Mytilus edulis: one gene and its partner. The protein of the gene in region 1 interacts with the protein of each later gene in a pairwise test. Links are inferred from orthologs where the notes say so. Each region holds a gene or a part of one and is shown on either strand. Other genes may lie near its edges. The genes, in order: cleavage stimulation factor subunit 3-like and cleavage stimulation factor subunit 2-like.

The links.
Region 2: the proteins of cleavage stimulation factor subunit 3-like (region 1) and cleavage stimulation factor subunit 2-like interact in a two-hybrid assay, tested with the Drosophila melanogaster proteins (2 studies listed by BioGRID). The link is inferred for Mytilus edulis from reciprocal best matches to the Drosophila melanogaster genes su(f) and CstF64.

What each region holds. Positions count from the first base shown.
Region 1 is NC_092353.1:43,454,876-43,472,190, forward strand, and holds the start of cleavage stimulation factor subunit 3-like, read left to right. Parts: upstream 1-8,482; 5' UTR 8,483-8,661; coding exon 8,662-8,682; intron 8,683-10,850; coding exon 10,851-10,952; intron 10,953-11,325; coding exon 11,326-11,421; intron 11,422-17,315. UniProt on the Drosophila melanogaster protein: Essential protein, may play a role in mRNA production or stability.
Region 2 is NC_092353.1:66,387,485-66,405,291, reverse strand, and holds the start of cleavage stimulation factor subunit 2-like, read right to left. Parts: upstream 7,517-17,807; 5' UTR 7,487-7,516; coding exon 7,402-7,486; intron 2,395-7,401; coding exon 2,316-2,394; intron 1-2,315. Other genes in the region: probable mitochondrial pyruvate carrier 1, read left to right, coding at 13,032-13,056, 14,434-14,566, 16,225-16,432.

The DNA of each region.
Region 1 (17,315 bases):
AACTTACGTATACGAGTAGATATATCAATTATATAGTTTAATGTGACTTATTTGATATGACGTTGGAATTATGTCGCGGATTCTGAAGCAGCTGCACGAGAGGGACGTCATACTTATGTTAAGATCGTGACTATTCCTAGTATCTATTTAAATTCTGTGCTGACATGAATTATCATTGAAATGGTCATTTTTTTAAATTAAGGTAGATAGGGTGTCTTGAAAATACCAGAAAACAAGGTCTAGATCTTTAATAGAATGTGCAAATATTAGTAGTAGTCTTAGAGTAGTATGTAATTCATGTGTAAGAACTTCAACTTCAATATAGAAAATGACATTTTTTATCATATTTATGGTTGTATTTTTGATCGATCAATTTTGTTCCAACTTTACCAAATAAGTGGAGGCAACGCAAATGCAAGGGCAGATAATTCAGATTAAAGTACTTTTACTTTAGAATGAGTTTGGAATTTACCTATTTTATAATGTAGCAAGAAAACGGGTCCGGTGACCACATTTTTTCTTTTTCTTAACCGAAGGCATACTATTAAAGCCATCTTCTAATATGTAATCTCGAAATTCTATGGTGTAGATTACGCTTTACTGCAGAAAATTGGCTTTCCATGCATAATCTATACAAAATTTGTCAATTTAAAACACCGTGTAGCTTGAAAATAAGCCCGGTGACCCATTTTTTTTTAATTTTAAGCATAATATAAACTACATATAGGCAAATTATTAAAAAAAATCTATGGATTATAATTTAGACACCCCATCTACCTTAACTGTTTACACAACTTTTGAATTTTTGAAATACTAAGGCTTTTTCTACCTCAGGAAAATATAACTTTAGCTGTATTTATCAAAACTTTTAAGTATTTTGATCCTCAATATGCTCTTCAATTTCGTGCTTTATTTGGCCTTTTAAACTTTTTTTGTATTCGAGCGTCACTGATGATCGAGTCTTTTGTAGACGATACGCACTTCTGGCGTAAGTACAAAATGGTATCGTGATATATTAATGATGAGTTTATTTTCTTAAAAAGACGTAAGTACAACATCTTTAGTTTTCTCGACGTCTTTTTGACGTATTTTTTGTAATATGACATCGCTACCATAATTCAACCTAAAAAGACGTCAAATGGACGTCTTTTTCTGCTGGGTTGTATTAAGAATAGATACAGCCATGCAAGTAGGGATATCTCTGAAAATAAAATTTCCGTGGAAAGGTCCCGCGTATGTGTTTGTTTTGTGTTCCTGTATTGCTGAAGATTAAAGACAGGAAAAGAAAGGAATTTTTGCATCATGATAGACTCAAACTGTGCTTTGACAGAGAAATACTTCTATGAGGGGGAGGACAGGGGGGTTACCCTTCTCCCTTCTCCCACCCCTCTTCTCCTTTCTCCTACCCCGTTCTCCTTTCTCCCATTAGAATAAAACATCTCCTTTTGAGATAAATTAAAAAAATTCTCCTTTCTCCAACTTTTTCTCCTTTCTCCCAGCCTTCCTCGCCTTTCTCCTACCCCCTTTCCTTTGTTTAGTCAAAACTCTCTAATACCGAACCATGAAGATAAAAGTATTGATAGTTTTGATACATTATATAACAGGTCCAGCTGGGGACAAACTGGTGTGCGAAAAAGACAAATGACGTCCTACTATATGTACAGCAGATATCTCAAGTATTGTTTATTGGACTATTTGTATATATATTTAGTAAAACAAGTTTTGCTAATTCATTCTAAGTATGGATGATGGACTTGATTATGTCATTTAATGGTGAAAATCCAGATAGATAAGAGGAAGATACAAAGATTAAATGCGGTAGATTAGAGGAAGATACAAAGATTAAATGCAGTAGTACGCAAGAACCTGAGCAAGGCAAAATTATGTCTGGTATGTGCAAGTCGTTTTAATAATGTAAGAAGGCACGTACGCCTCATGGTGCGGGATTTTTTCGATGCATTGAAGACCCATTGGTGGCCTTCGGCTGTTATATGGTCCTTGTCGGGTTGTTGTCTCTTTGACACATTCTCTATTTCTATCCTCAATTTTATGACTTTTATGTATACCACACACATTTGCCCAGAAACACTAACGCACTAACCTCATGTAAAACTTATCAAAATCAATTTGGTCAGAGGAGAGGGAAATATTGGAAAACCATTGCCTTTAGCTTCACAACTGTAAGGATGAACAACAGTCTGTATGGACAGAACTAATGAATGGTCTCCTTTTAGAACTCTGTCAACGCTATTTATTGCGCGATTACTAAAACATCTGGTAGACTATTTAGTATACGAACAGATGATGCCTTTAAACAATACTAATCAACTGACTTTCACAGGACAGACATACCTTTATTGAAATTCTACAATATAGGGAAAACAGATTAAATGTAGAGGTTATGCATGCTGTATCCCTCCATCTGCAATATATTCTTTGGTACATTGAAAAATGTTTGCCTTATTATTAAAAGGAACTGAAAACGTAGATAACCTCATTAAATATGAAATCAAAGTACCCCTTTATCAATTCAAAATGTTATTATGGTTACTGATTCGCATTTTCATTTGGATATGATTAAGCAACAAGCCGATCTATAAGTTGAATGATGGTGAGTTAGTATTCCAAATCAGACACTTAGAAGGGATATATGTGTATTTCAAAGACGTTGGCCAGCAAGAGAAAATATGGAAGAAATCAGAAAGGATTGACAAATAATATCGACTGTTGGAATACATCCACGGATAAAAAAAGGAGAGGAAATGAGTGTCCTGAATTTGTGGATTACAGATTTAGAGATGCTTATCTGTGTAAATAGAATGGTGGCAGTTGGGGAATGGGGATTAGACTCCTCTGATAATCCAAACAGCAAAGAACTGAGAATAGCAAAAAGGCACGCCTACCTGTAGTTTTACATTGCAGAGGAGATAATTTTAAGAAGCTGTTAAAGACCATGTCCCGAGATTCATTATCTACTTTCCGAGAGGAAAACCATCTAATTCATTGGCATTGTTTTAATGGGGATATGGAGGAATATCGGCAATGCAAAACCATGTTTCCAAACGGTAAATTTGGCATCTCTTAGAGCAATTCCTACTTATGGATAACAAATACTCATCTTACAGATCAACTGTATGTCCATTGGACCTAGAAGATTTAGTTTTGTAGATTGATTCCCCCCATCTACTCCAGGGATACCCTGGAGCATCTCCAGAACTATTAAAGGATATCAGTTAGACACTTAATTGCATCTATGATCGATGTACCCTCTGAAGATATAGCGAGATATATTTTAATGGATGGTTGTTATTTCCGTAAGACTGGGAGGAATGAAGTAAAGGTCCAGATATAAGATATAATTACTGGATTTGATACCAGAACTTAACCAATTATCTACTGCTCAACCTGGCAGATTATTTCCCAGAGCTCAGCTGATCCTGTTGTGTTGGATTCCAGTCCTGAGATTCCTGCCATTACATCCTTTTATATACGAAGACTATAACTGTGACTAGGAATTAAAGGTACATTACCAACATCATAATTTAAGTACATGTTGATGCAAGAGTAAAATGTTTCATTTATTACTGTTCTGAAATTGATACAAAAAAAATGGGCATTAAGTACAGTATCTTTTTTTTTTTAAATGAGGAAACCTGTAAAATGGCAAATATGTACCATGTATATGTTACAGGGAATTTGTGAAATCAGGGATTTTGTAAAATCACTGAAATTTCAGGGAATTTGTAAAATCACTGAACTGATTAGTGATTTTATAAAATCCCTGATTTTGACTAGTGATTTTACAAAATCCCTGAAATAATTAAGATCTTTTTTACAAATCACTGATTAAATTCAGGGAATTTGTAAAATGAATTAATTCATTTGTAAAAAGAATTTCTGTGAAAAAAAGCCTACAACAGTAACACTCAATAAGTTTGAGATTAATCTAGCCTTAATTAAGTAAGCAGTTTTCATGTACTATACAACTGACATACTGTACTATAAAACGATGGCTCAGACACAGATGTCTTTAAATCAAGAGCAATTAACATACCCACAATTAAAGGTTTCATCAAAATTGATATACAAAAAGCAAATAAGTGTTTAATTATTGATTTGCTGCCTACAAAATAATAGATTTGATAGAGACAGGGCAATTATGTAACAGTAGCTATCATCCAAAACTTGACATGTAAAAATAAGTAAATTTACAGTGGTCTAGATATCGGATTACTACCTTTTAGTCATTAACACTTTATACTTATTGTACAAAATCCCTAGCTCTATTTTCAGTGATTTTGTAAAATCCCTAGAACAATTTCAGGCAGAGGCGGATTTAGAGGGGGCCCAGGGGGCCCGGGCCCCCCCTTTTTGGGAAAAAAATTGGTTGCTTATATAGGGAATCATTGAAGCGTGATTGGAGCGGGCCCCCTCTTAGGTCAGTCAGTGGGCCCCCACTTATGAAAATTTCTGGATCCGCCACTGTCAGGGATTTTACATAACCACTGAAACTGTTTAGTGATTATACATAATCACTGATAAGTCCAGTGATTTTACAAATTCCCTGTAACTTATACATATAAATGACTTTTAAAACATATGCAGTGATATACATTGATAGTGTTTGTTTATTTAAAGTCGGTTATCTTACCACAACCAGGCTACGTTGTTTCACTTTCTTCCAATATGCAAGTCAGATAATATTAACCGTAAATGAGCATCATGTGTCTAATGTGTGCATATCCTGAGTGCATATCACATATCAGTATTTTTATTAGGACATGACATAATAATACGTTATTTGTATTATAGGCTTAAAAAAGGACGTTGAGAAATCAGGTCGTAGTAGTAGGACTGGAGCGCAGTTAGATCGAAGTCAGATCACAAAGATCGCTGTGCCATCTAGTTTCTAGTCGAAAATACTACGCTACGATCTCACAGCGACGTTACTACGACCTTTCTACGACTACTACCTTCTCATCGCGACCCATCCACGTTTATAATACGACCTCTCCACGACTACTACCCGGCTTCTCATCGCGACCCATCCACGCTAAAGCCTTATATGAGGGGGAGGACAGGGGGGTACCCTTCTCCCTTCTCCCACCCCTCTTCTCCTTTCTCCTACCCCCGTTCTCCTTTCTCCCATTAGAATAAAACATCTCCTTTTGAGAAATTTTTTCTTGAAATATTAGAATTTTTTTTTAAAGGAGAGATATTTTATTTTATCTCCTTTCTCCAACTTTTTCTCCTTTCTCCCAGCCTTCCTCTCCTTTCTCCTACCCCCTTTCTCCTTTCTCCCACCCCCTTTCTCCTTTCTCCTACCCCCTTTCTCCCTGTCTCCCTTACCCCTGTCCTCCCCCTCTTATATACTACGACTATTCTACGTTTTATATGCAGAATAAACAAACACAATAATACGCTTTAACAACTTATTTAAAAAACATCAGAGTCACAATTTACAATAATTTGATTTTGGATGTAAAGCATCTAGCTCTGATTTGCTGACGTCGTCACAAGTTGTTTTATATCGGCCCATATACACAATTTTGCCATGTGACCGTGACGTCATCAAGATTTTTTCATGATTTACTCCGGTTTAGAATGGCAGGGCCGTAACTAGGATTCGAATTCAGGGGAGGCAGGGTTTTGGGACCGCCGATTGAGGCCCCCAAGATAGCCCCCGCCGATTTTTTTCTCTCAGTAAAATGGCTAAAAATGACCCGTTTTCCTTCGATTTCCTTACTTTAAGAAACATCAGTATTGCCTGAACCTGACTGAATCAATTTTTTTGCAAAAAACAAGCTGAGGTTGCTGTTCGGTTGAGCCAAGGCTCCGTCTTGTATGCCGTACTTTGACCTATAATTATTAACCATGACTAAATACATTGAAAACTCGGATTTTTTTTTCACAATATGGCTAAAAATAACCCGTTTTCCTTCGTTTTCCTTACGTTAAGATTAAGAAACATCAGTATTGCTGGATCCTGGAAGCATTTTTTTTCAAACAATTATTATCTGAATTTAAAGATATTTTTGTTATAAATCAAACTGGTAAGGTAAAAAATAAAAAATAAAGCAAGATCAGAGATCGCAAGATATTTTTTTTTATCGAGGACCTTGAATTTCAATATTGTTGAAAGCTGAACAGACATGTGTAAAACTATAACCAGGGACTTTCAATTCTAAAATTTACTTAGTATAGAAAGTCCCTGCTACAACCGTCGGAATGGGAGTGTTTAACTACGCAGGCATTGACCATAATGTTCTCGTATGATCTGGAGACGCGTTTAAAAAAAATGACAGCTGATTCAGCCGGTAACGAATTTTTAATATCACAAAAGATTCACAATACAAAGGGAACTTCCTCTGCTTCAATGAGCCGGTAAATAAATGTAAATAGTTAACTTTTATTCAAAATTGTCGAAAACAAAGTTTCATCTGTGTTTTTCATATACATGTGTTTGAATAACAGACGGACGGCTAAACTGGAATCCGCTTGTATTACACTACACTCAAACTCTATGAACAAACGGTGTGGCAGTCAGCTGATAACCAGCTTAACGGACGGCCACACAAAAAAAAAAACAAATACTGAAACGGTTCACTTTCGATGAAAAATCCGGAAAATGACAGATATATATCATATAACATGATAACACTGTTAAAACTTAAACTTTTATTGTTTATAATATAAATTCAAGTTCTTCGTGTACATATTGTCAATATTTCATTTTAGTACTTAAAAAAAAATTTTGGTGTAGAAAATTCAGGGGAGGCAAGTGCCTCCCCTGCCTCATAGGTAGTTACGGCCCTGAATGGATTTAAGAATTAAATTATAAGAAACGACTGTAATACTTTCAGTTTCTGCCTATTCGAAATAATATAAAAAATGTGGTGCACACTTTATTTAACCCGCTACGCGGGTTATCAGTGTGCACCACATTTTTGATGTTATTTCTTCATAGACAAAAAATATTACAGTCATTCCTTAAATTAATGTATGTACATCTCCTTTTCACAAATCTATTTTAATTAAGGAATGACTGTAATATTTTTTTCTGTCTATGAAGAAACAACATTTAAATTCAAATACAACCAAACATCCAAAGAACAATTAAATGACAATAAAAAAAAAACCATTTTATTAACCTTCCAACACAACAATTCAAATTGATCTGTACTCTGAGGATCTGTAACACTACCAATACTTCTACCACAGCCATTTTTCTCATGTGCTACTTTTTGAGTAAAATGAGGTCGAAATTTTGTATATTTGCTCAAAATTCGGATTTGTGGCCGTATTTTTCTTTTCGAAAGAAAGACAAAACTTTTTTGTTTTAATAGATGAATAATTTGTTATATCTGTATTTTATAAATATCCTAAAAATGTATACATTTTTTATTCAAAAATAACTCATATTTATGAAATGTTCATGAATGTAGAAAAAACAAAATTGTTTACTGTATATTTATCCAATTTAAAAAAAAATGCACTGTTTACGTTTTCATGAAAATTGGAACCCATTATCTTCTCGCGTAATCAAACCAAATGGCATTTTAAAAAGAGGGGTCCGTGAACTCGTTTTCAAGTTAAATAAGTTTGAATGATAAAAATCGATCGAGAACAACATCTTTTCCCGATAAGTCATCGTCTTCGTTTATTCATATTAATTATATATTTGAAATAAAATCGACTGCGGTGCACTCGATATGCATGGTTCAACAAGAACCCATCTTCATATGCTATTCTTTTTTTCTCTCATTCACGTAGTAAAAAATAAATCCCGAGAATTCAAGAAACAACAAACTTATAGGAGAGGACTACATTTTGGAATATAATATATATATAAAACTTACCATTATTAGCTGCTTTGACTATATTCTCTTAGTAATCCCCACTGAAATTATGAAGACTATCTGAATAGATTTTGAATACAAAATTCATGATACGCATAGTGATACATTTTGTCTTATACTTCATGGGCTTCATGAAGCAATACATATTGTTTACCTTTAGCTGTACTTTCTTTTTGTCTATTTTTTTTTAAGTTGAGCTACTGTTTAAGGGGGCCAACATGTAGGATATATCTAAATAAAAAGAAAGTTTATTCACAAAGCAATTTTCAAACTTGAGGAAAATAAATCTTTGCTTGCTTTTTCTTTTATTTTACCTTTTTCCACGTGTTAAACAATGTTTTAAGTAAGACATTTATAAGCCTCTAAATCCTCTAACAGTCCATTCTGTTATCGGCTTATATCCCTTACTTAAATAGTAGCCGTCCATATACCAAATTTCTGAGTTTAATATGTTAAAATAGAAATGTTTATTTGTCCTGTTTCAAAAAAAATTATAGGAGTTTATTCTATTAAATATTTATTAAATTATAGCTTCCCTATTTATTATATGAAATAAGAAAATTGGGGACAAGATCGAAATAACGTTATTTGTTTTAGACATTTCCTTGATGTTTTTACAACCAATCAAATTCGATTTTGTTTCAGATGACGAGCAGCATGTCTCGAATGTCTGCCGGTTAGCCAAGCACCTGAAAAAGCTGTTAATGCATGGACACACGCGATGCCTACTGCAAATAAATAGTTAACATGAAACCGTAGAAGTGTTCTTGTTATTTACGTGTTGTAGTTATTTATTTGAATCATGGCAGCAATGCCACCGGAGGTAAGAACGTCAATGCAACGCGACATCTTGTTTGTTTATACCCACGACTTTTGACACGCTAGTTACAGTGGCGGATCCAGAGGGGGGGTTCCGGGGGTCCGCACCCCCCCCCTTTATTTTGGCCGATCAATGCATTTGAATCGGGACATATGTTTGCACCCCCCCTGCACCCCCCCTTTGCCCTGGGCTAGCACCCCCCCTTTCGAAAATTCCTGCATCCGCCACTGAGTTATCTGGTTATAAAGCGACAGAGTCTGAAGATACGAATGGATATGCTGTAACCGTTACGTACACTGCTGTATTATAAATTATTCAGACGATAAAAAGCCATTTAACCACGCATTTAACAACATGTTTTGAAATCAGTGCCCTTTAAAATATATATAATGTAGTGCTAAGCATTATATCATGTATATCTTAAGGTTCACCTGGACCCTTTGTCTGCAGCATTCACGATCAACTTACATATGAGCCCAAAAGCCCGCAGCTCAGTTGGCTTGTTGGCCTAAAAGCAATTTTACATGCCAATGTGTGGTTAAGAATGAAGACTTGTTTTAGATAGCTGCTTTCACCTAAAAATGTACAGAATAGATCATGATACTAACCTTTGAGTCTGGATAAGTTTCAAGGAAATATTATACACCATAGCCTAGATATTAAGGTTCATGTGGACTCTATGGTTAAAATGGCCGTATTTTCACCTCAAAATTTACTCTGAGTACAGACAAACCTGTGCATCTATAAAAAATTTCAGGCATAGCATGCCCTAGATAAATAAATTTCAAATATGTTTTGTGTTTTAGAAAAATAAAAACTTACCAGGATTTTGCCGTGCACTTTTTTTCATTCCTCCAGAAGGTGCCAAAATAAACTAAGTTGGGAAACAGGTTTGAGAACTTCCCCACAGGTAATAATTGAAGTGAGCTGTTTTGTTTCACATGGACATGAGATGGACAATAGATACCTGACAATAATTGGTTATTTAAACTGTGTACCCAGTGGCGGATGCAGGAATTTTCGAAAGGGGGGGTGCTAGCCCAGGGCAAAGGGGGGGTGCAGGGGGGGTGCAAACATATGTCCCGATTCAAATGCATTGATCGGCCAAAATAAAGGGGGGGGTGCGGACCCCCGGAACCCCCCCTCTGGATCCGCCACTGGTACCTGAGTGGACCATATCAAGGTAAACTCAACTGTTTGTTAATTTTATCATCTTCTGCAGGGACGAAAAAAAGTGTACGGTAAAATTCAGTTAAGTTATGAATTTTCTAAATCATACAATGCATTTGAATTCTATTTATCTAGGGCATGCTATGCCTTAAAACTTCTCAAAATGCACAGGTTTGCCTGTACTCAGATTAAATTTTGAGGTGAAAATACGGCCATTTTAGCCATAGGGTCCACATCAACCTTAAAATAAAGATTTATAAAGTGCATACTATGTTTAAAAATACAAAACTTAAAAACTGGATTATTCATATTGGCTTAAGTTTATATTGGTCATGTGTTGGTTAGCAGAAAATATATAATTGCACATATATTATACATGTATAAACAATTTCAAACTCAAAGTTGTGACAAAAGGGATAAGATTTGCAGCTTGTTTGAGCATACATGTATATTTTTTTAATAGTCTTCCCAAATCATATTATTCAAGAAAAGTTTTATTTTGTAAGGGTTCAATATTGCTCACTCTCCCTTTAAAATTTAGAATAAAAATATGCCCCAACAAGCTGTAAATTGGTCACTTGACTTGGTAGATTAACATAAACTGAACATGATGAGAAAAACTCCAAAAAGAGATGAAACATTCAAGCAATTAATCATTTTGGAACCATTGTCATGAATGATGATAATACCATTTGTATAGATTGGTTTTCATTCAATAGCTTTCCTTTTAAATCAGTGAAAATAATTTAAATGAAAACTATTTTATTCAAGACAACTGACATTGAAAACTACAATGTCAAATTTTCTTGTATTAATATTTTATATATATACATGTATTACTATGCTTTCTGCATATACAAGCCTATAATTGTCATAGTTTCAATTCTAACATAAACATACATTATACAAAAGTATCATAGACCCCTTTTAAGCTTTTAAACTTATTTAACAATACAGCAGTTGAAGGATTTAATCAATTATTTTTATTGAAAACTTTTCAGCAAGTGGGGTATGTCCCTGACAAATTGAAGAAAGCTGAAAAGAGAATTCGTACACAATCTTACGATACAGAAGCATGGAGCGTGTTAATAAGAGACTCGCAGGTACATATCGTAACAACTAATAATCATGATAATTGAATCTGTATTGTCATAAATTGACCATGTCTATTAAAAAATCATGGAGCTTGTTAATAAGAGACTTGCAGGTATATATCGTAACAACTTACAATCATGATAATTGAATCTGTTCGCATAAATTAACCGTTTTCATGATTAATATCAAAATATAACTGATCATTTAAAAGTATACTACTACATGTATAATAACTTTTGTTATTATACTTGATTACTTATTCATGTATTTCCTTTCAATATTAAGAAAAAATAATAAAAACAAAAATGTAAGACATTTTTACTGTATGTTTGTTGTTTTCAATTGTGAAAACTCATCATTTCTTCCTTTTTTGAATTTTAGATGAAACCTATAGAGAATGCAAGACCAGTCTACGAACAGCTTGTAGAACAGTTTCCTACTTCTGGAAAATATTGGAGGATTTACATAGAACAAGAGGTTATTTAAATTTTGTTTTTACTATTGATGTCACATGACCTTAAAGTGCTGAAAATTAACTATACTGTAGTTGAATTCAATTTTGATTTAAATTTCTGTTTTTAAATGCTTTTTTATAGTTGCATATTTTTATAAGGTACTTTTTATCTTTTGCAATTGCAGTCATTATGGTCATGTGATATCATACTGAGGGTAAAAGGTCTGTTAAGTAACTTTACATTGTTACTGATGAACATGATGAATATAAATCATTTACAAAGTCTTTAGAGTTCTTGTTTTATATGTTGTTGACTTATTTACTTGTGAATGTGATTGAATGAGAGTTGTCAACCATCTGCTAATTTTTTTCTCCATAGTTAATAAGATGGAATCCAGACTAAAAAACTCTCAAAATGAAGCTAAATATTATCTTGCCCATGCCCTTTTATTTGTTTATTTTATACTTTATAATTTGGATCAATGTTTTACATCGTTTTAAATCTAATATGAGAACTAGAGTCAAATCAGTGAATTTGACTTATAGTGCGGGACTGCCCCTTTAAAGCCCATTATTTTGTTATTGAGGAATTTCATAATGGGCGTCGGATTTACATCTCCTACGATACATATTTCTTGAGCCAATATTATATCTTGTAGAAATAACACGTGCTGGTGACATTTTTAAAAGCCTTTGGACCAATTGGAACCAAACATTTGACACCAATCCCAATACTGCCAATAGTGATTAGTTCGAAAAGTGTGTTCAACCAGTTAAAATCAAACTTAATCAGTGTGTAATCAATATAAAAAAATGCATGGCCAGAAGAGAAAAGACAAGAATACACAAATGGAAAACTAAAGACTAGCAACATTTACCTGACTAAAAGGGGGGATAATCCCTTTTTGATTTACAGATATATTAAAAGCAATAAATTCTCTTATAAATAAGTCTTGGTATACAGGTATTAGTTAGAATGAATGGAATGAGAGGAAGTGTTTAATTGAAAATCTTTATTTCAGCATTCAACATAATATTTTAAAAACTATAATATTAACACTTACATTTTTTTGTGTTACATGTATATAATTCAAACTGCATGATGATAAGTAATCAGTGTAGATGTTTATTTATAATTTTATTTAATTTATATAAAGTAAAAACATGAAAAAGAAGGGTAATGTTATGGTACATAAATAAACATTGCCAATGACATATTCAAATGGTTGTTTTTAATTGTGTTTTAAATTCCAGCTTAACAGGAATATTTCACACAAGGCTGAATATATTTACAGGTGCAAAATGCACAAATTTGGAAGTATCAAACACATGTATTCAACATGTATATTGTTAACTTATTATGAAAATTATTTTTAAGCTACAATTCATTGTTATGGCACATTTCTTATATGAAGCAGAATGTGTGAAATTTTCCGCTTCAAATGTGTATTCATCAATTGATAGCTTCAAGCATTAGTAATTTAAGGAAGCTTTCATTTGATTCCAAGTATAGAATTTTTTATTGGTTTCAGCCTTCAATGACAGAATTATCTTGATTGAAGTACAAATGTAGCTTGAGGCATATTTATTACACACAAACAGAAAAATGTTTTAGGTTAAACATGGTTAAACATTGTAAAATGTCAATTTGCAGAATCCATTCATAAATTTCAAATTAAATTCTGTAGCATGTCCTACATGATTGAGCCTTTACACTACAAAATGACCATTGACAGACACATATACAGCAAATAAAAATAAACAAAAGATGTCAATAGGTCCATGAGGTCAAAATACTGTGTGAATTAAAACAGATGACTTTGAACATTGTATAACTGTACAGTAGGTGGAAATTGGGCTTTGAACTATAGCTGTTTATAGACTTTCTTTTCTTAATGTGGTAAAAATTATTTCTTTCACTGTGCTCCATTTTCATTATTCATAGGGAATTGCTAATTATAGAAACAAATCTGTTTCAGTTGACTTGTTATCGTCAAATGTGTATAAAAAAATTGAGAATGGAAATGGGGAATATGTCAAAGAGACAACAACCCGACCATAGAACAGACAACAGCAGAAGGTCACCAATAGGTCTTCAATGCAGCAAGAAATTCCAGCACCTGGAGGCATCCTTCAGCTGGCCCCTAAACAAATATATATACTAGTTCAGTGATAATGAATGCCATACTCAACTCCAAACATACATGTACCTCGTATGCAGATTCCTTATGTTAAGAAGTTTCCGTCTGTCATATGTTCATTGTCAATGATGCTGTTTTCATGTTTCAGCAACTGCTTGAAAATAATTTTTTTGTCGTGGAATACTCCTCTTCTATAAGTTACAAGGTAACTTTATATGGTGTTTGAGTTCCTCTCAAGGTCTTCATGTCCATCACACAGTGAGCAGATATAAGTTGCTCAATAAGGGGGGTTGCTCCCAGGCCTACATTTTATCTACCTCTGGTGATCTGATGAGTTCACCTGACTTTACCTCATTTCATGGATCAGTTATCAAAGTGAAATTTTCATTGTGAAGTTCACTTCAGGTACTCAAAGCAATTCCAATAGGTCGACTTGTCTATATATTGTGTTTAGAAATTAATTGTAGTGTAAATGTTCCTCTGACGGGTTTCATCTGACCTTGACATAATTTTCATGATTTATTGGTCAGTGTTACGTTTTTACTTGTTTTGTCCTTAATCATATTTCATAGGCAATTTATCAACTATAATTGGTATATGGAATGATTGCATGGTGATCATGTTGTCTGGCAGGTCTCAAATTTAAGGTTTATTGGTCAAAAGTCAATTTTTGTAATCAGGTTGGTTTTTCATATACTTGAAGCATTAGGCTAAGTTGTTTATGTATGTCTGGCTGGGTTCATCTGACCTTGACCTCAGTTTTTATGATACTAACTTAAAATCATACCTTTATATTACACACTTGCAACATCAATTCAATCATGATAAGTGAAACCAGTCAACATTTCAGATCGCTTAAGTGTGTGCACGCATAGATCAATTCAAATTTATATTTTTAAGGTGGTACCCAATACCTTGACTAAAACTGATTTGGATCATTTAATTTTTTAAAAATTTAATTTCTGAAACTATATTTACTTTGAACCTCTGACAAAAATATAAAAAAAATTAAACTTGAACCACACACTTTATCGGTAAAATTTCATTGGATATATAGCAGGTTGGCAAACACTAATTTTGATCATTGAGAAGCAGGGGCGCAGTTGCCGTTAGGCACTTTAGGCACATGCCTACACATTTTTTTTCACAAATATTTTTTTTTATTAAAAAAAAAAAAAAAAACATTATCTGTAGATGAAAGCCGGTGAAGTTGTCAAAACTCTTTAATTATCGAATGTTATGTGTACACTAGTCTCTCGTCCTTAGTGAAATGAATGGAATATTGGATAGAATTGAATGTTTTTACGATTTTACCTTATATAGAAACTATAAACTAGAACTTTGGTTCAGATCATTTCACCTCTATCAACAAAAACTTGAATGAACCTCAACTTAGACACATGAGCTTTTTAATTAGTTGTTGTTAGTTTTCAACTAGCTTTCCACTTTGTCTTCACCCGACTTGCCAATGTTGGTCGTCCGTTTGGCTATGCAGGATGTATAAATACGCAGCCACTTCTGATCAGAATGGGGAAATTAAATCTGATGCCTAGTTGTAGAGAGAATGCAACTCTTTGAGGAGTTCGCAGTTGGTCTACTGAAAGGCAAAATTTCTCCTCCTATCCAATAATCCCTCATTTTCCAATGTATGTCATTTTTAAATTTCCAGACCTTCGTCCTGGACGACACTATTACAGGATCTAGCTCCAAGTTGTGTTTATTGCAAAGAAAAATTTCAACAGTCCTGAACTTGCATAAATATTTGACACTGGGTGTAAAAAAAACAATCAGTCAACTGGCTTCCAGTAATTTTGAGTACTCTCAAACCTGCATGTAATGGCCACAATTATTCAAAATTACTAAGCAGGTAGGAACTGCTGGGGGCCTTCAGCGGCCCAAGACCCCCTGACCATTGGTGCCTACAGTAGACTAAATACCCAGCTACGCCCCTGGAAAGCTTATATTTCACAACAATATAAGGTGGTTAAAACATTCAGCAGATTTACAGAGTTATCTCCCTGTAGTGTTATGTACCACCTTAATCCATTTTTGGCCTAGTATTGTTTGTTTTGCCCAAAACAAAGGTTTTCGGATAAGTAAGTGACAACAGTGGTATGATTGTATAAAAAAACCATAACTTATGGTTAAAGGAGTTTTAAACAATCTATAGATGGCTCATTGATATAAAATTTTTGGTTGACATAATTCAATTGTTATTTTGGTTCGGTAACTTGGGAAGTTAGTGGTCAGTTTAATTTTGTCAGTTTCTTTGGAATCAATATTGGTCTTTGCAAGACTCCCAGTGACCTTTTTGTTTTTAAGTTTTTGTGCTTTGTATACAATTAGGAGATGTGGTATGATTGTCATTGAGACAGCTATCAAACAGAGTTCGAATATTGACTCGAAGCAACAAAAATAGATCACTTAATATCTTGTCACTTTAAGTAATATGTCGACTATATTCTATCTGCAGGACCATATTAAAATGAACATATCTTTATACAGTGACCTGTCTCCTGACATTCTCATTTTCAGGTTTTATTATATATTAAATCGGTGTTAAAGTTTTCATGCTAATGTCATTTCACAGTTGCTTTGATTGATATGTAAACTATTTGAAGCATACAACATATTTCAGGTTTATTGTTAAATGCTTGTGCAGTATATATTTTAACTAGCAAACAAAAATATCTTGTACACCAAAAAGCTTATGTCAATTAAAAACAAAACTTGAAACAAACAAACAAAAAAACAAACAATTAGTATTATCAAAAAGAAAACATCTCTGTCAAGAAGAAAGTTGTCTTTAGACATGATTAGAAACATAATTTAGGAGCAAAAACACTGCTTTAGAAATCTGATAAACATTAACATACAATTTAATCCAAACCATGAGGGTTCATGGACTGATTATATACAATATTTAAGGAACAGTGGGTTACATTCCTGTATGAGTTCATATGCTGAAACAGGTAAGCTTAAATGAAATACTAGTAGGATCAGATCATTACCCATTTTGTATGAAGTTTTATGATTCAACAGCACCTTTGAGTTGCTAAAAGAACATATACTGATGAAGGGTTATAATAATAAACCATAACAAAAAAATGGAGACAGTGCTTATAAACCAGTGATATTTGGCTTGTCAAAGAAATCAAACACTTGTTTGATTATTAATAATTAGCTCCCCTGAAACTATATACAATGCGAAAGATTCCTTAATTTTCGTTACCCTGGACATAGAATAATTGGCTTTGGTGCATGTCCATTCTTTCTTGTAAGAACTCTCACTGAAACAAACCTTGCCAGAATTTTATGAATTAAGTCAAATCTTGTAGTCTGTTCAAAACATTTATTTTAAAAGTTATGCTCCCTTAGAAATATAATTATGGTATTTTGCATTGAAAGTGTCTCGCAGCTACATTTCTTGTAGGATTATAAAATTTATATGACAGGTTTATATGTGCAATTTCTAGAGAAAAATTTGACAAATTAGTTTCCAACCATTATTTTTGAAGGAGTTATACCCTTTGGAAATATAAATTTAAACATGAGATATTGCATAATTGAATATTTTGCATTTTGCTTACAAGAAAGCACTCCCACACCTACATTTTTGAAATTTATATCAAAGATTTATATCTGCAATGTCTCATACTAGTTTTAAAAATCAGTTTCAAATATTTATTAGTCCCCTATCGACAAAGTCTAAGGGAACTTTAGGTTTACACTCGGTTTGTCTGTCCAACCGTCAGTACGGCAAATCAGTTTTCCAC
Region 2 (17,807 bases), about 23 Mb from region 1:
TGGATCAATTTGGCACAGCAGTTTCAGAGAAGAAGATTTTAGTAAAAGATATATAAAATTTACGAAAAATGGTTAAAAATTGACTTTAAAGGGCAATAACTCCTAAAGAGGTCAACTGACCATTTTGGTCATGTTGACTTATTTGTAACTCTGACCTTGCTGAACATTATTGCTGTTTACAGTTTACCTATATCTATAATAATATTCAATATAATAACCAAAAACAGCAAAATTTCCTTAAAATTAACAATTCAGGGGCCGCAACCCAAAAACAGGTTGTCCAATTCATCTGAAAATTTCAGGGCAGATAGATCTTTGCCTAATTAACAATTTTATCCAATGTCAGATTAGCTCTAAATGCTTTGGTTTTTGAGTTATAAGCCAAAAACTGCATTTTACCCCTATGTTCTATTTATAGCCATGGCGGTCATCTTGGTTAGTTGGCGGGGTCACCGGACACAATTTTTAAACTAGATACCCCAATGATGATTGTGGCCAAGTTTCAAATAATTTGGTCCAGCAGTTTCAGAGGAGAAGATTTTTCTAAAAGATTACTAAGATTTACGAAAAATGGTTAAAAATTGACTATAAAGGGCAATAACTCCTAAAGTGGTCAACTGATCATTTTGGTCATGTTGACTTATTTGTAGATCTTTCTTTGCTGAACATTATTGCTTTTTACAGTTTATCTCTATCTAAAATAATATTCAAGATAATAACCAAAAACAACAAAATTTCCTTAAAATTACCAATTCAGGGGCAGCAACCTAACAACGGAATGTCAGATTCATCTGAAAATTTCAGAGCAGATAGATCTTAACCTGATTAACAATATTACCCTTTGTCAGATTTGCCCTAAATGCTTTGGTTTTTGAGTTATAAGCCAAAAACTGCATTTTACCCCTATGTTCTATTTATAGCCATGGCGGCCATCTTGGTTAGTTGGCGGGGTCACCGGACACAATTTTTAAACTAGATACCCCAATGATGATTGTGGCCAAGTTTGGTTAAATTTGGCCTAGTAGTTTCAGAGGAGAAGATTTTTGTAAAAGTTAACGCAGGACGACGACGGACGACGACGACGGACGACGACGGACGCCGGACGCCAAGTGATGAGAAAAGCTCACTTGGCCCTTCGGGCCAGGTGAGCTAAAAATGAAGAATCTACATACACAGTTAGATTTGGCATATCAAAGAACCCCATTTATTCAATTTTTGATGAAATCAAACAAAGTTTAATTTTGGACCCCGATTTAGACCAACTTGAAAACTGGGCCAATAATCAAGAATCTAAGTACATTTTTAGATTCAGCATATCAAAGAACCTAACCGATTCATTTTTTGTCAAAATCAAACTAAGTTTAATTTTGGACCCTTTGGACCTTAATGTAGACCAATTTGAAAACGGGACCAAAAGTTAAGAATCTACATACACAGTTAGATTCAGCATATCAAAGAACCCCAATTATTCAATTTTGATGAAATCAAACAAAGTTTAATTTTGGACCCTTTGGGCCCCTTATTCCTAAACTGTTGGGACCAAAACTCCCAAAATCGATACCAACCTTCCTTTCATGGTCATAAACCTTGTGTTTAAATTTCATAGATTTCTATTTACTTATACTAATGTTATGGTGCAAAAACCAAGAAAAATGCTTATTTGGATCCCTTTTTGGCCCCTTATTCCTAAACTCTTGGGACCTAAACTCCCAAAATCAATACCAACCTTCCTTTTGTGGTCATAAACATTGTGTTTAAATTTCATTGATTTCTATTTACTTAAACTAAAGTTATTGTGCGAAAACCAAGAATAATGCTTATTTGGGCCCTTTTTTGGCCCCTAATTCCTAAACTGTTGAAACCAAAACTCCCAAAATCAATCCCAACCTTTCTTTTGTGGTCATTAACCTTGTGTCAAAATTTCATAGATTTCTATTAACTTAAACTAAAGTTATAGTGCGAAAACCAAGAAAATGCTTATTTGGGCCCTTTTTGGCCCTGTAATTCCTAAAATGTTGGGACCAAAACTCCCAAAATCAATACCAACCTTCCTTTTGTGGTCATAAACCTTGTGTTAAAATTTCATAGATTTCTATTCACTTTTACTAAAGTTAGAGTGCGAAAACTAAAAGTATTCGGACGACGACGACGACGACGACGACGACGACGCCAACGTGATAGCAATATACGACGAAAAATTTTTCAAATTTTGCGGTCGTATAAAAACTTGCTAGGTTAGTATAAAGTTTGTGTTTACCTCACCAATGTAGATAATTTGAAATTCTCAATTTTATAATTATTTATCATATTCTTACCTAAAACTAACAACAGGTCCAGCTTGAGCAAATATTTCTTTCAACTTTTCTTCTGTAGCTTCATACGGAATGTTCCCGACTGAAATTATGAACAATAATGTTGAGTTAAATCTAAATTTTTGAAGCTAAAATACATACATGTATAATTTAAAACTTCCTGTTTTGTAAAACTGAAAAAAAAAGGTAATTTATTAAACTGACAGACATGCACGAATAGTCACATCAACTTATGTGTACGTTTTACTTTGCTAAACATTTTTGTGTTTCACAGTTTCTCTTGATCTACCAAAGTTTCTCAAAAAAAATTAAATAAAAATTGGTGAAAATTAGGGCAATTATTCCTTCAATAGATAATTAATAATTTCAGTCATGTTGTCTTATTTGTATGGATTACTTTGCAGACATATCTATCAGCTTTTTGCATAGTAAGGGTTAAGTGCTATAAGGCTTAAAATATATTATTCCATATTGATTGTGTTTCGCCATTTTCCATTCTGTTTTGCCATATTTCATTTCGATCTATTTCTTTTCAATTCGGTTTCTTACTTTATCAGTACCACTGATCTAACATTAACAGTTGGTTGTCTATTTTGTTAGATATTTTGAAAGAAAATATTTAAATGACTTTCCAATTTTTCAAGTATTACAAAAAACAGATCTATTAGACCTTTCTTGAGCTGATAACAGAGGTGGTATTCACTGAGTGTTTTTTGCATGGGGGCTGCTAGTCCAAAGTATAATGACCTCTTGCAAGGCTATTTTTTTACCCTGTGAGTTGTAGACCTAGGAAGGTGTCACAGAAAAAAATAAAATACTTAAATAGCCTAGCAAAAAGTCATATAAGTTAGTAGTCCAAATAATTATGACGTCTTGGAAGGCTATTTTAAACTTTTGCTTTGACGTCGATGTCAAAAAAAATAAATTGGGACAATTTCATTGTACTAATGAACTCAAAATCGTAATTTTTTTTGTTACTATTTTTGAATCCCGCATTTGCGTAGAAATCTACTTCCTTTTTCCAGTCTTGTTGTCTTGAGACTTTGCATAAAATATATAGTAATCAGTCTAGTAAAATATAGGAAGGAACACAATACCAATTTCATTTTTAATGATTCTTTGATATGATAAAACGTTACCCAATGAAAAAAATATTTTAACATATATATATTTGGAAGTTAAAATACATGGTTGAAATAAAAAAAAAAAACAAGAATGTGTCCTCAGTACACGAATGCCCCACTCGCACTATCATTTTCTATGTTCAGTGGACCGTGAAATTGGGGTAAAATCTCTAATTTGGCATTAAAATTAGAAAGATCATATCAAGTCGATTGGACTTCAACTTCATCAAAAACTACCTCGACCATAAACTTTAACCTGAAGCGGGACAGACGGACGAACGAACGGACGGACGAACGGACGGATAAAAAAAGGTATACAGACTTTGTCCCCTTTCACTGGTAATGCCTGCCTCATATTAAATAAGGTGCCTATAAGTATCATCATGTGATGGGTTTTCGTACTAATAAAATTTTTAACTGCTAAAGGATTTCACTGTTGAGTTTTTATCGACTTGTGAACTCAGTGAGGCATGTTTTTGGCTTTAAATTAAAATGGCTAATCTGGTCAGTTTTATTAAATTTGTTCTAGCGTCTTTTAAAGCGACTTTGAATATGTTTTAAATTTGTCAAGTTGTAGTGTTGTTGTTGTTTCAAATATAGAAAATGAAAAAACCTGCCACAATATACACGTGTGCAATCAAAACCAATCGCGCCCATTCACGTTCGCATCCTATGCGTTCGTCCCCCAAAGTCTGTTTGCACCCTACACCACGTTTTTGCCCAAATTTTATTTATACTATCATTTACTATGAAATACAAATCGTACATAATGTCATTGTATCTTCATATCTTTTTTTGGCAGAAAAAATGATAATGATCGAGTCAAAGTTTTATTGGTTTTGTGTTTAATAATTTGTAAACGAGTATTGGAAAGTGTGTTGCAATAAATATTTGGCTTTCATATTGTCATATTGTCATACTTGTCTAAACACACATGAGATCTGTCAAGTATTTGCCACTGTACAATTGCTTAGTAACTAACGTCACTAACGTTACCTAACCACAAGAAACACGATATTAAGATCAAAGGAGACAGCTGTTAAAAACAATTATATTTTATGATTTTTTTTAATTTAAAATCTTCAAAGATTTAGTCATACCAAGCTAAATATATGCAGTTATTTACATCAAAGCAAGTTAAAAGACTTACAATCATAATTTTTAATCACTAAAAAATAACACCAAATTAGGCAGTAATCATATGGGTCATTCTCAGTTATTCAGCATTTTTTTATATACCTTGGTGAAAAATATAAATGTTGGCTTTTGGTCCATTTTTTGGTCTCAAATTGAGACTAAAACATTGATCTTTATGGTTCTAATAATAAAAAGATAGTTCAGTATGTGGAAATATATTTTAATTGAATTTTTTTAACAGTACCCTCTGTGTTTTGGATGTTATATATTTTTCATTGACAGTATCATATATGCATTAAATGTACAATTTCAATAGAATAATTCATATATTTTAGATAAAGAAGTTAATATCTTTAAAATTAAAATCATTTATCAACTGATATTACAATAGAAAGGGAGTAATTATGTATAATTTGTTGTTGTGGATGTGACTCAAAATTAATACATTAAAAGTTTAGTTCAACAGTTTGTGTGTCAATTATTTTTAAAGGAGAATTTATAAGATTTTGTTGTGGTTATTCATTAAACAGATACATTGGACTTTTCAAATAAATACTCATTATTGCATATATTTTTTTACGGAATTATTATGGATGTCATGGATGTTACATTTTGACAATTGACAAAATGGAATTTGTATAACATCCAAAACATAAAAAATATCCTGAGTTTGTGCATCAAACAGTAATGTCCAAAACATGTCACAGAATTATAAGTATATTTCAGAGCAACAGTTAAACCATACACATGTTAAACTAATTTTAGTTTATATAATATAATAGTACCATGTTTATATTCCCTCAATTAAAATTTAATGGGGTTAGTTTGTTCTTTCTGTTTTGGATGTTACTTGTTCAAGTAAAATTTAGGTCACAATAACATCCAAAACAAGTGTTTGTGCATCAAACAGTAATGTCCAAAACATGTCACAGAATTAGAAGTATATTCCAGAGCAATGGTTAAACCATACACATGTTAAACTAATTTTAGTTTATTGTAAAATAATAGTACCTTGTTTATATTCCCTCAATTATAATTTAATGGGGTTAGTTTGTACTCCCTGTTTTGGATGTTACTTGTTCGAGTAAAACAGTAATGTCCAAAACATTGATCATTGATTTGAACATTGTATAATAAAACAGATAATAACTTTGGATATTGTTTTATTTTTCATCATCCAGTGCTACGATATTTAAATAGTGCAGATACATATTTTAATATATAACTTATTTTTAACTAAAATCGTACGGACATTACGCAACCACATGCTTATCACGTCAAAATATAACATCCACAAAAAGGTTTACAGGTCAAAATGTCACCGTCCATATGCATCTGTGTTGTTTATCGTCAAATTGGCAATTTCCGTCATATTATATTTACCTATATATTGAACCACGTAAATAACTGATCACGCAATGAAAACTTACCATTTAGTTGCGTATTTGTTACAATATCAATGAATTTAAATTAAGTTTTGGATGTTACAATTTGCTTTCGCCTGACCGAACTTAACTTAACTCGCATTTTCGAAAGTCCCACGGCTGCTTTGTGTACACAAAGATCGATGACATCTTTTTGGACGAGTCCAAACTTTCATTTAGGGGGGTTGGATATCGGACGATTGTAATATTGGAAGTAAACGAGGATTCGTTTTGGATGTTAATTATTGACCGATATTACCACGTCTGTAAAAGATTGACGATTTCTTTTTATTATGAAGCCCTGCATGTCATATCATTTTACAAAATACATCTAAAGAACAACAAAACCCCTGTTTACTTTGCGAATAGTGTTGTCCACATTCTGTTCTGTGTAAATATTTATCGCAAAATTAGCTAAGGTTTGACCGATGCAGTAACATCCATACACTAATTTTTATTACTAAAATATATATATTAATAATGCCCTGTTTATTATATTTTATACATGAACAAGTAAATCTGAGTATATAGTTTTTATTATTCCTTAACTTGCCCTGGTTGTGCATACAAAAATGACATAAAAATATGATTAAATATGACCATGGAAAAATGTCCCAAAATGGACGCCATCAAAACACCCTTTTTTTATTTTAAAACTCTTGTAAATTTCTTTCTTCTCCACTTATCATCCTTAAATTATCTTTAATATCTATTCAACATTAGTAGAAAAGAATAACACATCAGATTTGCCAATATCTCCTTTATTTTCTTCACAAATTATCATCAAAGTCCAATGGTACTGAATTGCTGATTAACTGAGAATGATGTACATAATTAACATTTTATAGTTTAAAATCCATCAAATTAAAAAAAAAAAAAAATGTGATAATTCCTCCAATTTTATTCAAGAAAATAAAATTATTTGGTGAATATACATATAAAAAATATCTAATTATTCAATGAAATTCTAATACAAATTTGGCGCGAACGTGTAGGGTGCGAAAGGACTTCAGGGGCGAACATGTGAGGAGAAACGTGTAGGGTCAAAAAGTATATTGGGTGCGAAAAGACCTGATACCGATGAAATATGGATGATACGAAAACATATGACTAGACGATATAACTTGTATAAATGTAATTGGAAGGGGGCCACCATCTTCAAAGTTATTATATATTTTACTGGAAAAGGCACAGGCATTTGTAACTGTCAACGGGGGATTTACTTTCCACACTCTGCGAAAAATTATACAAGTGTGAAAAAAAAACATTGACATAAACAAGTCCTGTGCCGTGGGAAAAGGGGAGACAATCGAACATAATCGATAGATCGTCTATCTCGTTGGTGATCAGCTGCTTACATGGATATAATCTAAAAAGAATGACTTCACAAATTTAATGTTTTACCAAATACAGATCTATTTGATCTTTCTTGAGCAGTTAAAGGAGATGGCAGTATTAACCCATTATTTTGTTGCATGGGGGCCGCCATTTTCAAATTTATTCTTTAAATCGAGGTTTTAAATCATATCTTTGAAAGATAGAAAATACATATCTGATCAATTAGTTTCTTCTTTATAAATGAATATAATGAGAGTTTTATATTGCAAAACCTTGAGTTTAATTTCATATACACAAATATATTTGATTTTTTGTTTCAGAGACTTTAAATCATTACTGCGTTTTTTTATACGAAAAGATGGCCAAGGATTCAAGCGTTTGATTGTCTCAGGTTGAACAAATGTTGTAAATTTTGACCTCCAGTGCTCTCTTTAAAAATTTCATAAGATGGCAAGCTTATCATGGTCAAAATATTTCATGAGGTGAAAAAAAGTTCCATACCATAATAATTATGTAAAATGAAAAAAATAATAAAGTCACTTTGAGTCAAATGTTTGAGCCGAAGCGTTCTCAGACTACCAAAAGTGCTAATTATTACAACAACATTCAAGTTTCATCAAATCTGCCAAACATTGGAAATTATTCCACTCTGTTTGCAAAAAAAACAGAGAAAGTCAGACTCACTGATCACAATGTTTAAAGATCTGAATACAACTTGATTTCACTCTTTCAGGGCCGTAACTAGCCTCTTCAAATAGTGAGGCAAAAGATATTTAAGGTTCATGTGGACCCTAAGGCTAAAATGGCCGTATTTTCACCTCAAAATACACTCTGAGTACAGACAAACCTGCGCATCTGTAAAACATTTCAGGCATAGCATGCCCTGGATAAATGAATTTTAAGTATGTTTTATGTTTTAGAAAAATAAAAACTTACCAGGATTTTGCCGTGCACTCTTTTTCATTCCTCCAGAAGGTGCCAAAAAAACTAAGTTGGGAAACAGGTTTGAGAACTTCCCCACAAGTAAAAATTAAAGTGAGCATTTTTAATTGACATGGACATTAGATGGACAATAGATACCTGACAATAATTGGTTATTTAAACTGTGTACCTGAGTGGACCATATCAAGGTAAACTCAACTGTTTGTTAATTTTATCATCTTCTGCAGAGACGAAAAAAAGTGTACGGCAAAATCCAGTTAAGTTATAAATTTTCTAAATCATACAATGCATTTGAATTCTATTTATCTAGGGCATGCTATGCCTTAAAACTTTTTCAGATGCACAGGTTTGCCTGTACTCAGAGTAAATTTTGAGGTGAAAATACGGCCATTTTAGCCATAGGGTCCACATGAACCTTAAAGAATGTAAAAATTTTTACTCCTTGGATATATGTTCAATAAATTTATTTGGCTATTAAACTGTGAGTCTATTAATATTTTAAAACAACTTGGCTATTTCTTATCAAAACACCTGCCTTGAGTAAACATTTATAATATAACACTGGGATACTGTAAGTAATATTTAAAATGTCTAACTTTTTAAAGCATACTGTTTTGTTGTTTTGCTTTATTTTATTTGTAATTGTTTGTAACTATATATTGTCATGAATGTATATGCACTATGCCCCTTGAGGGTACCTCTTATGGAAATAAAAGATATTCTATTCTATTCTATTCTATATGGCCGAGCGGAGCGAGGCGCAAAAATATTGGAGAGGGGACTGGGGGCCGCTCAAGGCCCCCAGAAGCTCTGAGAAAACTAACACACAATCGTGCATTCTGAGCGTTTCCAAGACTCTTTCTGACATTGAATTGCAATTAATTTTTAGCTTTTTTTCGACAATATTCTGGTCTGAAAGCAAAAACATAGATTTATTGTATTTTAAGACTTTAAGGTTTTATGGTCAACATTAAAAGACCGATATGTAGGACAAAGCAAAATTCGTAATTCTCATAATCATTAATGCGGTATGGGCTTTGCTCATTGTTGAAGGCCGTACGGTGACCTATAGTTGTTAATATCTGTGTTATTTTGGTCTTTTGTGGATAGTTGTCTCATTGGCAATCAGACCACATCTTCTTCTTTATATATACTGTCTGTCTGTTTTAGTCTTGTATTGTGATTAGACTTTGGTGATATTTTTATGACTAGATTGAAATATTGTGACAGTGCAGTATTATGCTTTAAATACTAGTACTGCTTAAGACGACACTAGGGACACTTGACCCTGTTTTACGATATAAATGATTCTTTTATTGTTGAAGACCCTCCAGCAACTTTGACCAAATGATTGATCATTAGTATTTTTTATGCATTGACTTTGTGTGGGATTAGGTTTCGTGCACATTTACTCCATATTCCTTTATTTTCTGTAAAAGGGTCTGAACATGACTTAATGCAAGTTTAACCCATCAATGGAAATGGTCATATGGCAATACATTATTGATTTGTGTCAAATTATTTGATACTGGAAAATTGGTGACCTTATTTTCATTTAAACCATGTCAGGTATCTAGTTTTATCAACCAAAAGTAGCCAGTTGTGAATTCTTTGATATCAAATTCAATTCTCCATGCAGAAACGACCATTTTTTTCTGTGTCTTGTATATTCTTAAAACATTTTCTCGCACAATATCTGGACATCGGTGGGCATGCAACATTGCAAAACCACATGTTTACAAATGAAAATCAACACTCAGACTATTGTCATACAGTACGACAATAAATAAGCAAAAGACAAACTCGGGACACAGAAGTTCAAACAATAGACCATCAACTCTGAAAACTAAAAGTAAAAAAGAAACATGGATCACGAAAAACATGCAGGGGCGACATCAGATAGTGAAGAGAATTTGCTTCTTGTTAGACACTTTCCGTGAAAACAATTTGATATTAAGACAATCTTTTGTTTCATTTTTTTTTTTTTTTTTGAAATTTCTAACATGAGGCATTTGCCTCATTTGCCTCAATGTAGTTACGGCCCTGCTCTTTAGACTTTAAGAATAAAATATAGCCTAATTGATAAATAAGAAAAATCACTGACTTGTGACCAAAAATTCAAAAGCTGTTTAATTAATATGAGGCAGGCATTACCTGTAAATGGGGACGAAGTCTGTATGAATTATTTTTTTGTAACTTAAATATTTGCTAAAAAAAAGAAAAGAAAATACCGTAACGTTTCCAATTTTGGTTCTGTTGTAAGGGATTTTAGTTGTGACGTTATTTAAGTTATGACATCATATGCAATGTAAACAAAGAAACGCTATCATCAGGTAACGTTTTTTCATATCAAGGAATTATTAAAAATGAAATTGGTATTGTGTTCCTTCCTATTTTATACTAGACTGATAAATATATATTTTACTCAAAGTTTCATACAAACGAGACCGGAAAAAGGAAATACATTGTAGATTTCTGCGCATATGCAGGAATTCAAAACATGACATCAAAAAAATTGAACGATTTTGAGTTCATTAGTACAATGAAAATTTCGAAAAAATTTTCCTGATTTTTTTTTTTTTTTTTTATTGATTTTTCTACTGTTATTGGGGACTTCGTCCCCATATTAATCTTAAGACTGAGTTGATAAAGAAGAAAAATTCCTTACTCTGTGACCATAAAGTTAAAAGCTGTGCTGAAAAGGGAGTAAAAAGTAACATGAGTAATGAAAGGTTTAATATTACTAAAGCAATGGGCTCAGACAATACATTTTATCTACCGAGGAGTACTCTAAAGAACTGGTTCCTGAACCTTTTGGTGTAAAAGTCACTTCTTTCAACTATGGTATCTAATATATTTATGAGGGAACCGTATCAGAGCAATAGTTGCTCTTGACTCAATAAGACCAAAAAAATCATTTTTAAGATATTCCAGTTTTAGTACCTACAGGTGCATGTGAAAACAAAACAGTTTACAACCAAGAAAACTAAATCCATGTACATTGTACAGCAATCATTATCAAGCATGAATCATACACATGTACAACCAAGAATAAGCCACTCACATGTACAATTAAGCATGAACAATACACTGGTACAACAAGCAAGAAACAAAATTCTCATCAGGATTTGTTGATGAATAATTTTTGTCAAAAATAGCAGGTCTAGTGCTCTCACTAAGATTATTTCAAGTGCATGTGTAAGGAGTAATACATTGTACCAGTAAAATAAAAATTATGCAATATTAAACTTACACTATGTCTTATTTTCTATTTTCATATTGTCTGTGAAATCTACACGGTTACATAGTACAGTAAGTATTTATTAATCTATTTGATTAGAATATGAAAGTTATTGTGTATGGAACAGTTGTGTATGTTATTATTGTGAAAGGTCATCATACAGCCTTTAACAATGAGCAAAACCCATTTTGTATATAGTATTAAAGCTGCCAAAAGCAGTGATTATGGCTTGATTTTACAACATGTGAAACAACTCAAATGAGAAAACCAACAGCCTGATTTATGTGTAATCACATAGAGAAAACCATGGCAACCATGGAGTTTCAGGAGACTAGGAACTGGCACAAAATATGTTTAGTTTTTTCCGTTTTTTTTCTTTTTTTTTTTTCTTTTTTTTTTTATCGAATTTCAATTATTTACTCAGTTTTACTGTCAAATATTCACTTTCTGATCAAGGTAAGATGATCTTAATAAATAAAAATCAAGCTTTTAGAGTGGTCTTGAATTTCTGCTTTATGAAAAGTGATATAATGTTTGTAATGGTTCAATTGAAATTTCAGTTTTAAGCAATGAAACCTAATTATATAAATAAAATTGACTTCTGATATTATTTTTGTGGTTATGTCACTTATGTGTTTGGTCTGTGGTAACTATTGTAAACTTTAACAATGGGCGGTGTTTTATTGTTAACACTATGTATCCTGATTATAGTACTAGTTATAGATATATGTGTCTTATTTTTTTCAGCATTTCTGGGGTCCTGGTAAGTTAATAATTAATGAATAATACATTTGTATTTAATACTATTTATAATATTGATACATGTTTACAACAGCAATTATTTAATAATCTTAACAATAATACTAGTACTGCTTGATGCATTTCATGTTCATTGCTCTTTAGTGAGCTCACATTTCATTCTACCTGCTGTACCTGCTTGCAGACATGTGACAGATTTGCCAAGTCAGAACTGGAGATTACATGGAGTTTTGACCTCATGAGTGAAGAAAATTGACATTTAATATCCATGCCATGATGGCTTTGATGTTCATTATGATAGTAATACTAAAGATTTCATATTTTTGTAAAATATTAAACTTCTGCATTTGTCAAATAGTATGTTGCATTGTATAACTTGTTTGCCACAAACCTCCCCTAACCTGGGGCAGTGGTGTTACAGTACAACATAAGATAACTATAACACTGTATAAAAGTCAGTCGAAAAGGGCTTAACTCATCAGATCGATGCAAAGCACATTAAAACCCTAACAAAAACATAAAAGACACAAAGTACCGATATGTGAGAATTTTCAGTTACTAAAAGTTAGTTCAAAGCCAATACAACTAATTAAATAAATGTGCCTAGGACTAAAATATCAATCAGTACACATCCAACATCCAAGAATATACACATGTCTATATTAGTGTTAAATTTGTTATTTTTCTTCCATCAACAGTTGCAAATTGGGGACTTCCTTTGGCAGCATTAGCAGACTTAAAGAAAGACCCAGAGATGATTAGTGGTAAAATGACTGCAGGTAGATATAGCTGTTTATAGAATATTGTGGATTCATTATTATTCATTGGGTACCAATTTTCATGGTTTTCAAGGGTAAAAGTGAACTATGAATTCAAATGTTCAACAATAACATATTTTCAATAGGCCTTATATACGAACATTGGCAAAACCACGAAAGTAAAATATCCACGAATATGCAAGTTTTCAGCGTTCCATGAAAATTGATACCCACGAAAATAAATGAATCCACAGTATTCAGGTTGCAAATCTATTATGGAATTGAGTTATTGCCCTTTAACAATGATTTTATGAGCTTACAGCGTTGTAGAATATAAACTTGAAAAGTGAGAAACTGCTAAAGAAAAAAATTGAAAAATAAGCAAATTAAGTTCCACTCAGTCTTTTCATTTCATTATTAAAATAATGTGATTGTGCCATTTGTGTTTTTGGATGGTCAGATTTTGAAGAATTCATAGATGTGGATTTTATTCTCTAATTTTACTGAAATGTCAATGTAGCAATTATATAAAAATCAAGCTGTGTTCCAAGAACTTTTCAATTTGAAAAGGATTATAAACCTTCAAAGCAATAACTATTGAAGGCAAAAGACTACATAAATGCTACACACCAATATGCTCCTGAATGGAATAGCCAAAACAGTCAATCAGGTAAACCTTGCAGAGACTTCATTTCTTTAAAAATTAGAATTATTTTAAATGATGGTTTATCATTTTATTTTGGACAGTGGCATTTTGGATTATTTTCTTAAAAATAGTGTTTGAAGAGATTATTTAGATGTTTGGAAATAAAGTTAAAACTTGTTATAAGCTTGGAAATTAAGACAAATGGTGACCGTTTTATGAATTTCGTATTGTAATGACAACACACAATAACATTTTTTACTATGCTGAAATGACCATTTATCTTCCAGCATAGGACAAACATGAAAATACCAGAAAAAAGAGATTGAGATTCTTCTCATGCACCTTTGTGATTGTTGTCTCTTGAGGAGAAATGTTCAGTCTTTGATTTGAGCTAAGAATATTAATATTATGTCTGCAGTCTATGCTAGTGTTACTGAACTAACATAATTACACTAAATAAAATTGAAAATGGAAATGGGGGAATGTGTCAAAGAAACAACAACTTGACCATAGAGCAGATAACAGTAGAAGGCCACCAATGGGTCTTCAATGCAGCAAGAAACTCCATTACCCGGAGGATGGCTTCAGCTGGCCCCTAAACAAATATGTATACTAGTTCAGTGATAATAGACGTCATACTAAATGTCGAATTATACAAAAGACACAAAAATTAAAGAATAGCTATAGGTATGTTTTGAGATTTCACGGTATAACTGATAATTTTTTAATACTTTTGCCTATTTATTTTGTAGCACTTGCAATTTATTCCTCATTATTCATGAGATTTGCTATTAGAGTACAGCCTCGTAATATGTTGTTGTTTGCCTGTCATATAACCAACTTTTCCGCTCAAATGATGCAAGGTGGAAGAGTAATCCATTATCAGTAAGTTAACATTTTACATTGTGTGTTATAGTGTTTATCTGGATATTTAAGGAAAAGTGACACTTAGAGGTTTCATTTAATATTCATGGGTGTTTCCATCCTATTTGGAATAAAGCAGTTCAGATATGTGTGTAAAACTATTTGTTGCTGTCAGATAGAATTTCTACTGTCTTTTTGACAACTACTAAGGATAGCATCACTCATCCTGTATCAGGGGTCTTGCTGTGCTGTGCTTAGTCGATAAATACAATATCATTATCTATATGCCATCATTTCTGGTGCAAAACCTAGTTTTTTTTTGAAATGTCTATTAAAGGAACAACAGAAATCTGGGATACCAAAAAAAAATACTGCCAAAAAATGTTCATCATAGAATTTGATTGGTCAATGTTAAAGGGGCACTAGCTGTCAAATTCATGTTCACCGATTTGGCTTATATCATATTTGATTTATAACAATGAAAAACATCATCCAAATTATTAAAAGTCTGAAACAATCAATAAATAAACTCATCAAAGATACCAGGACTAAATTTTATATATACGCCAGACACGCGTTTCGTCTACAAAAGACTCATCAGTGACGCTCGAATCCAAAAAAAATCCTAAAAGTGTTGCCAAATACAGCTAAGGTAATCTATGCCTGAGGTAGAAAAGCCTTAGTATTTCAAAAAATTCTAAATTTTGTAAACAGTTAATTTATAAATATAACAATATCAATGATAATTCATGTCAGCACAAAATGTGCTGACTACTGGGCTTGTGATACCCTTGGGGAAATAAATCTCCACCAGCAGTGGCATCGACCCAGTGGTTGTAAATAAACTCATCAAAGATACCATATACTGTAATAACAGGACATGGGCTCCATAATATGTAGCTTTGTTTAGTGTGTATTTTAGTCTCCAGGACTAAATTTTGTAAAAAAAAAATTCTAAGTATTTTTACTTATGAATGGACTTGGTTTTTCTGCTAGTATCTTGAAGGAAATTTTGTAAAAAATATATTTCCAGTTTTTCTGTATGTTACATATAAATACTTATAGGACTTCATTTTTCTTCCAGTTCACATTACATACAGTCTGCAGTTAAAGTTCTTAAAACCTTTATTAGATTCAAGTAGTCAAGACACTGGGTTCCACAGAACCCTTACAAATTTTTAAAAAATTTTGCCATATATAATAAAAATTTAAATAGTAAAATAGACACTTTGACCTATAATGGTTTACTTTTTTTTAAATTGTTATTTGGATGGAGAGTTGTCTCATTGGCACTCACACCACATCTTCCTATATCTACTTTAAATCACAAAAATGATCCGCAAGGCAAGATTTACTAACACACCAAATTTTGCCAAGAAAGTTACTAGTAGAAGACGTCACTCTTTATAAGAGTGATTGCCCAAAATATTTTTGACCCTCTTATGTGTTTTGAGCAAAAACTAAAAAAGATAGAAACTAAACACACTAAATGATCTGCAATAAAAGACAAACAAAACAGAGATTTTTGTCATTTACTCTTTTCTCATCCATCTACAATATTGGAAAAAGTCCTTTTTTAAATATGCATATATACCAATGTGATCGACACAGATTCTTTAGAGCCTCCAGTTATTATATGTCCATAACCATCATATTTTTAAATATTTAATATTCTTCAGTTATTTTACCCCAGTATCAGAGAGGAAGAAACATCATATTGAAGTTGTGGAAGAAGAAATTCACCATCATCCTGAAAGATACCCAGAGATTCATCCAATACCGTTAGATCACCTCACACAAAGTCAGGCGGAAAAAGAAGTCCAGGAATTTGACAAAAAATATTCCCTCCCTAAAGAACCAGTACCACATATAAAGCCTACATTATAAACCTTATGACAGAAGTTTATAAAATTTTAACAAATTTGAACAAATTTGCTTGTTGATAAACTTGATTTTGATTTTTAGGCTGATTGAAAAAAAGGCATGATCTCTAAATACGCAGAAACAATATGTTTAAAAATTGTTGTACGGTTTTAATGAAAAAAAATGAAAGTTCAAATTGATAACCAGAGAATTTTTAATTACAATGTAATATGATATATTGTTATGAAAATGTTACTGTTGTTTTAAATATATAGAGCTTTCTTGAAACTCACTTCTGAAAGTCGGAATCTGATTTTGATATAACTATGGAATACAATTTTTTTTCTTGTTTAAATGTGTACTGGTATGAATATTTGTTTAGTTCAGTGCATAACTAGCTTCAAATTTTAGTTTAAGATTAAAATACATGAATCTGGAATGAGTTTCTGAAAAAGGACTATAATAGTGAAATATTAAATATCTTTACATTGTAATGACCTATATTTTAAAATGTATGGCATAATGTTATATTTTTACCTGTGATATACAAACTTAAAGATTCATTTTCATAGAAAATGAAATTCCAAAACATAGTATTATATTCTAAAATTAAATTGGAATCTCATTTAACCTTAACTTGCCATGAACACATTAGACGAGAAAGGTTTAGTCATATTCAGTGTTCTCTCTAGTATTTTCACATAGGTTTGAAACAGAGTTATGTTCCAAATTTATAACACCTAATTTATCAATTGCTCAAAGGTAGCAAGGTGATTCAGGGTATTGATTTTGATAAAAATTCTAAAATTAAAATTATACCATCAACAATTGGTATCACTTAAATATGAAGATAGATTTTTTTTAATCAGAAAGGTATGGAGACTAAAAAACATTGCACGGTTTAATTTCTCTTTGTCGAAAAAGATAAGAAAATGCGTACCTACCTACCCACTGTTTCAACCTTGAGGTAGGGTTTGTACAAACTAAAATATTTTGAAGTGTGGCCTTCTGGATTGTTAAAAAATTGTGTTTAGTTGATTTCATTTGTGTTTAAGACATTCTGCATGCAAGTTGAAACAAAATTTGTATGCTGACTTAAATTTTTGGTTCACTTAAGCCAACAACATCCATGAAAAATTCCTACTGCATGGACAAGAAAAAATGCTTTGTTTACACACAAAAAAATCTACAGTAAGATATTATATTAATGTGAGTGCATAAAAATTCAATCCATATTTGCAAGCTAGAATTCAGAACATTCCAGACAGAGACATAGTAAAGATGTATATAGAAGTAGACACATAAGCTTCTTAATAAACAAAAATTATATGTACTATCACTGGTATAGCATCTGCAAAAATACTGCAGTCGTACTACCTAAAAATACTGCAGTGGTATT